Elephas maximus indicus: one gene and its partner. The protein of the gene in region 1 interacts with the protein of each later gene in a pairwise test. Links are inferred from orthologs where the notes say so. Each region holds a gene or a part of one and is shown in the gene's direction. Other genes may lie near its edges. The genes, in order: RGS2 and NIPSNAP1.

Region 1 (3,908 bases):
AAAAAGCAGGTGTCCTGCATATTGTACATATTTAATAAATAAGTATTGACTCATCAGAAAGTGAAAAAAACATACAGCAAACACCATGCAGTTCCTGCACAGATGAAGACTATATGCTTGAGCGAAATTAGTCTTACATTTCACAAACATATTTTAAAGTCTTTTTTTTTTTTTTTTTACTGAAATCTAAATTACTTGTTTCCATAATAAAGTACATGACTGTTCTCTTCAGTAGTAATTGCAGATTTTCCTCTCCAAGTCAAAGCTGGAGCTCCAACTACTGGCAGCTCAGCATAAAAACATGGTAACTAGTCCCAGTGTTACAGGCCTGCGTCGGAATTGCTTCAACAGCAACGGGTTTGGTTTATTGGCTTTTTAATGGTTAGTGTAAAATAGGGAGAATATTTGCAACCCAATCAATATCTTGCTGTAAAGCTTACTGTCTAATTAGAGGTTTGATGGGGAAACCATTTGAATATTCCACTGTTAGGTTCTGGCAATGCTGTTCTCTAAAATCAAATCATTTTGTAGCTAAAGTAATGTTTGTCCTCACCCATCAAGTCACTTGAAAGCTTGCAGGAGGGGACAGATGATTTCTGGAAAATCAACAACTTATTTAAGCAAAGTGTTAACTTTTCTGCTACTTTTTGCCAGTTAAGTATTCTGGTAAACTCTAAACCAACTAAGGATGACTCACGAAGAAATCATCCATTCCCACGTTCTTAAACTAGAATGATTCCAGTACATTCCATCTGCTAAGTGTGGCGTTTTCCCTCTCCTTCCTCTCTCACGCACATACACAATGGCGAGATCTGTGATTTCTGTTGTGGATGGAGAAGAAGCCAGGAAATCCTGAGGACGGACCCTATAGGCCAAGCCACAAGTCTAGAGGTGAAGATCACAAAGTAAACCCAGTTAAAACGCTGTCTTCTGAAAGAGTCATTTTCTCCTGTTCCTCACCTGACGAATGTTCGTTCCCCTAAGTATTCCAAGATGCCCAAACCCCAGCCAGCACACCTGCCCCGGGGCTGTCACCGTTTCCTCCCCCGGCTGAAGCAGAATCGCAGGAGAGGACCGAGCGAGGGTCTCCGGGCGGCCCCGGTTTACTTTACAGACCAAGGGTCTCGGGCGAGTCGGTACAGCAGGACCAGGACTGTAAGCCAGAAACGAGGCGCGGGCAGGGGGATGGCCAATCCATGTTAACTGGAAATAAGGCGATTGCACTCGAGTTTGCAGCAAAGCACCTTTTCCTGATGGGGAAACATCGCCCCTCTCGGGGATCCAGGGGCACGTCAGGGTGGGTGCGGGGAGAAGGCGCGCCGCGCCGGGCCTGCGGCTAATTCGGCCCCCCGCCCTCGCCGGAGGCGGCAGAGCCCATCCGGCCGGCCCCGCGCCTGGGCACAGGTCGCCGGCAACGGCTCCCGGGAAAGGTCCGGGTCGCGTTGCGGCCCGAGCGCGCGCTCGGCCGGGCAACGCCAGCATCGGCTGCGCCCTGGCTCCCGAGACCCTTCGTGGGCGGCCGTGACCGCGCTCGCACCGCCCCCGGGCCCCGTACACGGCCAGTCCTCGCCCTCCGGGGCGGGGCTGGTGCGGGCGGCCCTCCCCATCGGGTCCTGGCCTCCTATAAAGGCCGCGGCGCCCCCGCCAGCCAGCAGCCGCTGCCGGTGTGGGGAGAGGATGATGCGAGGTTCCATGTTCCTGGCTGTCCAGCACGAGTACTGTGGTCCAGTGGACAAGAGCGCAGGCAGTGGCGCCAAGAGCGAGGAAAAGCGGGAGAAGATGAAGCTAACCCTGTGAGTACGGTCTTCTCCAGCCTCCCGCCCTTGCCCCTGCGGAGCTAGCTCCCCCGGTCTGCTGCAAACGCGGTGGGCTCGGTCTCGGCCTCGGCTGCAGGAAACTGGGTAGTTCGGGTCTCCACAGGCGGGAAAAGGGTGGAAAAGGTTAATCTGGCAAATTAAGGTTAAATATGTTTTTTGGTATTTTTTTGGCGGGGGTAGAGTTTTATTTTGTTACGTGACCGAAGGACGATCCGTTAGAGTTTAGGAACTGAGGAATATTCTACATGTGGTGTCTGGGGACGGCGGTAGATGCGCTAAGATATTGCGGGTTGACTTTTTGTTCCCCTGCATTTAAAATGCCATCAGAGAATCCTGCGGCTGAAGCATGTCCCCTGCAGTCGTGCGTTGCATTGAGTTCTGATCAGCTTACACAGCTGCAGGGCTGAAGCTGTGTGTGCTGGTTCTGAATAGAAATCCAGTCTTGTTTTTAGTAGAAGAGTAGATCTCACTCATTGAGACTGCGGAACAGATTATTGCTCTGCAGCATTTGCTCAAAATGAGCGTCGTCGTTGGGGGGTGGAGGGGCGTGGAGATAGTCACACGCACCTCACTGTGTGCAGCCTCTGGCGTTGTCCAGAGCCTCCTGCTTTCACGGTGAAACCCAGTGCCGTCGAGGAAAATGAACATCCCCAGCCGGAGGCGATTTCATCAAGCGTGAAACAACCGTAGTTGTAATTCGCCTTGTAGAGAAACCTGCTGCCTTTGGAACAACACAAATTTAATTCGTTTAAATACTTGAGTGGTTTTAGATAGTCTTGCCGATAGTTATAAAACTGCTAGTTACTCTCACGTAAATGAATGAAGCTAATTGTGTATTCAGTACATTACATTAAAAGGGTGAGACTTGTCTCACTTGGAGAGTTCCTGTTTGATTTTATTTGGTTTGTCTGTAGCTCCTGGGAGACTTTATTTGGAAAAAAAAAATGCATTCGGCTGCAGTAGCTGCATTTTCAAGCATTGCCACTTAGTAAATGGCCTTTTTTTTTTTTTTTTAAGGTTAAAAGATTGGAAGGCCCGTTTGAGCTACTTCTTACAAAATTCCTCCACTCCTGGGAAGCCCAAAACCAGCAAGAAAAGCAAACAGCAAACTTTTATCAAGTAAGTTGAAAACCCTGTACTTGGTAATAGGAGCTGCTAGCTGCTGGACCAAAAAGGGAAGTTCTGGTGCACATAAGCTAATCTACAGAACCTCTCTTGCAGGCCATCTCCTGAGGAAGCACAGCTGTGGTCAGAAGCGTTTGATGAGCTGCTAGCCAGTAAATGTAAGTTACACTCTTGAGTTTGATCCATTTCAGGTGGTTCAGGAGTTCACTAAGGTTAGGTCCACCCAACAGAAGAGCAGCTGGCCTGAGGGGAATGGGACTTAAATTATAGTCACTATAGCATAAGACCTATTTTTCTGTCCCTTATTTTCCAGTGTTTAACCATGGAAATGCATATATTATTCACTCCAGGTGGAGAAGAAAAATTAGCCTAAAAAAATTAAAGTGACAGTTGCTATTAGCAAAGATTAAGTCAGCTTTTCCATTGCAGTGTTTTCAAAAGGCTTAGTTCCCAGAGAATTTATGGCTTCCCTCTAAATACTTATTTTGTATTGACAGCAAAATTAAGTTTGCATATTTTTTTTTTTTTTACCAGTGTGCCAATTTAAGCAGCTTGCCTACTGGCATCTTAGCTTTTAAATTTTAAAGAGGGAAATTCTGAGGATTGTAGGTACGAGTGAAATCTAGAAAATTACCATCATTTAGAAATAATTACAGTGCGGGTACGCACTAGGAAAAATATCACATCTGCATGCCCTTTTTTCTTTCAGATGGTCTTGCTGCATTCAGGGCTTTTTTAAAATCTGAATTCTGTGAAGAAAATATTGAATTCTGGCTGGCCTGTGAAGATTTCAAAAAAACCAAGTCACCCCAAAAGCTGTCCTCAAAAGCAAGGAAAATATATACTGACTTCATAGAAAAGGAAGCTCCAAAAGAGGTAAAGAAAAAAAAAAAATTCATCTCAGTACATTTTTGAACATCCTTAGCACCAAAGTGAAATAAGAGTTGAAGAGACTCCAAATTAAAA
Region 2 (3,908 bases), on another chromosome or scaffold:
AGCCCTAACTACAACGCAGCAGTGACACTGTGTTCTCTCATTGCAGTTATCTTACTGGCATCACCTGTTTATGATAATTGATTGCTTTTCTATTATGATGATCTGCAGTTTCCTTTTTAAATAAATCACACAAACACTACATTTTTTTTTTTTGGTAGCAACTTTAGAAAACACACACAAAAAATTCATAGTTAAAAGCTCACATTTTCATACAGATTATTTCCTCAATCTGTACAGGGCTCTCCCTCCACTTACCCCCTCCCCCACCCCCACCCCCGTTATAACTCCTCAGGCTCACGCAAGAGGCTAAGGCCTCTGCTCTGGAGGGCTGACAGTCAGCAATGATTTGACTCTGTAGGGTTGATATGAGTCAGAAATTGACTCCAGGGCAAGGGGTTTCTTTGTTTTTTTGGTCCACCCACCAGGCCCGAAGCCCCAAGAAGGCCAGGAGTTTTTTCTGCCCCACTTTGCTGTCTCATAGACCCCCTGGCGGCACAATGGTTAAGAGCTCCAGCTGCTAACCAAAAGGTCAGCAGTTCAAATCTACCAGCTGCTCCTTGGAAACCCCATGAGGCAGTTCTACTCTGTCCTATAGGGTGTCTGGGAGTCAGAATCGACTCCATGGCAACGGGTTTGGGTTTGAGTTGGTGTCTCACAGCCTAGCCCAGGATCTGGCCAGGCTGACTCTCAGTATCTGCTGAACAAATCAGGGAATGCAAGCCTGTCACCCGGTCAGCGGGTGGGCATTATTTTGGGGCTTGTGCATGCAACCTGCCCCTCTGGAAGCGATGAGGGCCTGGGCCCCCAGATGTGGGGCCTGCAGACTCTCTGCCCCTGCAGAGCTCTGTGGTCTGGGGGCTTGTGGGCTGAGACAGGTAGGTTTTATCGACAGGCAAGAGTTGGGCAGGGCAGGGCAGGTGGAGGGCATGTGGCCCCAAGAGGCCCAGGTCAAATGGCTGAGAGGAATGTAACAGGAAAAGTGCATGGTGGAAAGATACGGTCCGTGCGGCCCAGAGCCTTGCCTAGTCTTTCTTAGATTATTAGGGGATTTGTTTCTTTGATAAACGCTGCCTGTGGACCCCTACCCAGAAAACCACTCAGGTGTACACCGCTTGTATACAATTTCAAGGGCCTTACTGAGGGTCGCTACAGATTGGCCCTCTAACTGCCCCATAGGGCACTTCTATTCTGTTCTCTAGGGTCACTATTGGTCGGAACGGACCCGACAGCAACGGGTTTGGTCTTTTGACCCTCTGCCGCTCATTCCCCAACGCCCTATTAAGAACTCCTGGTATTATTCAAAGTGCTCATTTTACCGAGGTGGACACTGAGGCTCCAAGTGGACAAAGTGCTTAATCAAGTTCACAGAGCGAGTCCGCGGCAAAGCCACAGAGGCTCAGAGAACTAGAACCCCGACTTCCGCTTAGCATCTGCGGAGTTGGGGTACGCAGAGGAGGAACGCCCACCTTGCCCCTGCAGAGCGAGTCGGTGCTCCTGGGGGCGGGGCTTGTCGACGTCCCGCCTCCGCCGCCGGCTTCGGGGGCGGGGCCTTCCTCCAACCTGCGCCGTTCCAACATGGCTCCACGGCTGTGCAGCATCTCTGCGGCGGCGCGGCGGCTGCTGGGTGGCCCGGGCCCCCGTACCGGGGATGCTGCGGCTGCGGCTGCGGCTGCGGCACGGTGAGAGTCGGGCAGGGCGCGGGAGGCGCGCGCGGGGCTTGCAGGGCGGGACAGGGGTCTGGGTCTCAGGGAGGGACTGGTACTCCTCGGCTTGGAACCTGGGGGCTAGGGGCGGGGGCAAGATCGAGGGCTGGGCAAAGAATGAGGAAGGTGGGAAAGATAGGGGCATGGCCCTTGTCCGAGTGGGGACTAGGGTCTGGGCGGAGAATGGAAGATGGGGGTGGCAGGCCCTGGGTCCTGGGGCGGGGGGCTGCCGGTAGAAGGAATAATACCTGATGAAAGAGAAGCCTCCTCCCTACTGGGGGTTCTAGGAGGGTGAGCTCCTCCATGGGGAAAGGTCCGTTCTCGGGGGAAGCAATGGGGATTCCCCAAAACAATGGCTACACAGGCATTGCTCCCCCACCCAAACAGTTCAGGTGAGGCAACTGAGACCGGCGGGGAGGAGGGGATGGCAGTTGTCGAAGCTCATGCCACTTGCTTTCCCATGGCAACACTGGGTCTGGGATCCAGGTCTTCTGACACCCTGTGCTCTTTGCACCACAACTGGGTGGCTTCCTGGGAGAGGGAGGCTGGCTGGCCATTCACTTGGCCTGGGCCTTTGTTTGTCCCACGGTGGCCCCTCCCTCCTTCGTCTCCAGGGCTCTGCATTTCCTCCATCTCTGCACTTACCACCCTGAGCACTTATGGCTCTTGGCTTGCCTGTCTCCCTACTAGACCTTCAGCTCATTTTTGTTTCCCCAGCACAGGGCTCAGGACAGTGTATGTTCAAAGAACATTTCCAAAGACGTGAGAATGCCCATTTCTCTACCTATGGAAAGGAAGCAGGGGCCCCTCCTGTCCACCAGCCCAGGAGTGAAGCTGCAGAGTTCTCTTAGGCCTTGCTATGAGATGTTAGATGGCTGGAGAGTGGGACTGCTGGGCTGCTGGGGAAGAGGAGATTGCCATGTGCCCCCATCCATCTGCCCAGTAATTGAGGAGAAAGCTGGCATCAGGGAAAGAGCTTGGAGTCTGCCTGCCACCAAGCAAATCTCACTCAGCCTTTTGTAGTGACCTTGGGCAAGTCATTTGACCTTTTCAAGCCTCAGGTTCCTCATCTGTAAAACGGGGGTGATAAAATAAGGTGTGTCTCATAGGGTTGCTAAGGATTAAAGAGGCCATCTGTGTGAGGCATGTAGCACATGGTGGACATGAAACAAATGTTGCCGCTTGCCCTAGCCTGCCTCTCAAGGAATTTCTGCTTGAGCCCCTTACAAGGTCAAGGCTGAAAGGGCTTTGGGGAGATCATCTTTTCTGAGCCTCCTGGTTTCCAGATGAAGAAATCAAGGCCCAGGAAAGGGACTTCACTTCCCAGTGTTACAGAATCAGTTGGTGGTAAAATCATCTGTGTGACGAATATCCGCAAAAGAATATTCACAAAAGGAGCATGGGACTTAGCCGTAGCCGCTGCTTCTCACGTACTTACTCTGTAACCCTGGACGAATCACTGGACCTCTGGAAAACTTGGTCTCCTTCTCAGTAAAGTGGGTTGGTGATCTACTGGGTTAATAATTATCAAGTCCCTTGAGGACTGCTGCTCAGCTTCCTACATGCTTTTACTTACACCTTGGTCCCACATAGGATACCTGGGAATATTCTCTCCTGCTGACCCTCAGCCTGCCCCACATCTCCCTGGAGTCACTAGGGGAGCCAGCAGCAGCCCTTCTGGCTTCTGAGGTTTGGAGGCAACAAGGCTGCTCGGGTGGGGACAGAACATGGACTTTGGAATGACCACCCTGGCTTGGAAGCCTCTTGGCCATGGACTGGCCATCTTTGAATAAGGCGTGGAACATCTCTGAGCCTCCTTTGTCTCAAAAACATTGTGAGGATTAGCTTGTAGCACATAGCAAGTGCTCAGTAAGCAGCAATCAACTGCTCCTTACCATTGTACCAGGTATCCTGTTGATAGCAGAACTTGAGTTTCTCTAGCTAAAAACACACTCTTGAACAATAAGGAGAAACATGGCCCCTTTCTGAAGTCAGCCGACTCAAATCGGAAGAGCATTTCAGGATGTGCACTGAGGCAAGCTTCCCAGCATATAAATCTGTAACATTCCTGAGCAGATCGATGTGTGGAGGGGTCACATCCTTGTGACGATGCAGGTATGTCGTCGATAGTAACTGCTCCCAAAGAAGGATGGAAAAGTTCTCATCTGGGACAAAATTTATTTTTGGTGAAAATACACACAGCAA

What was found.
Region 2: the proteins of RGS2 (region 1) and NIPSNAP1 interact in a two-hybrid assay, tested with the Homo sapiens proteins (2 studies listed by BioGRID and IntAct). The link is inferred for Elephas maximus indicus from reciprocal best matches to the Homo sapiens genes RGS2 and NIPSNAP1.

The regions. Positions count from the first base shown.
Region 1 is NC_064842.1:58,198,482-58,202,389, forward strand, and holds the start of RGS2 (regulator of G-protein signaling 2), read left to right. Parts: upstream 1-1,634; 5' UTR 1,635-1,677; coding exon 1,678-1,793; intron 1,794-2,834; coding exon 2,835-2,936; intron 2,937-3,038; coding exon 3,039-3,100; intron 3,101-3,651; coding exon 3,652-3,818; intron 3,819-3,908. UniProt on the Homo sapiens protein: Regulates G protein-coupled receptor signaling cascades. Inhibits signal transduction by increasing the GTPase activity of G protein alpha subunits, thereby driving them into their inactive GDP-bound form.
Region 2 is NC_064840.1:26,959,183-26,963,090, forward strand, and holds the start of NIPSNAP1 (protein NipSnap homolog 1), read left to right. Parts: upstream 1-1,550; 5' UTR 1,551-1,575; coding exon 1,576-1,679; intron 1,680-3,908.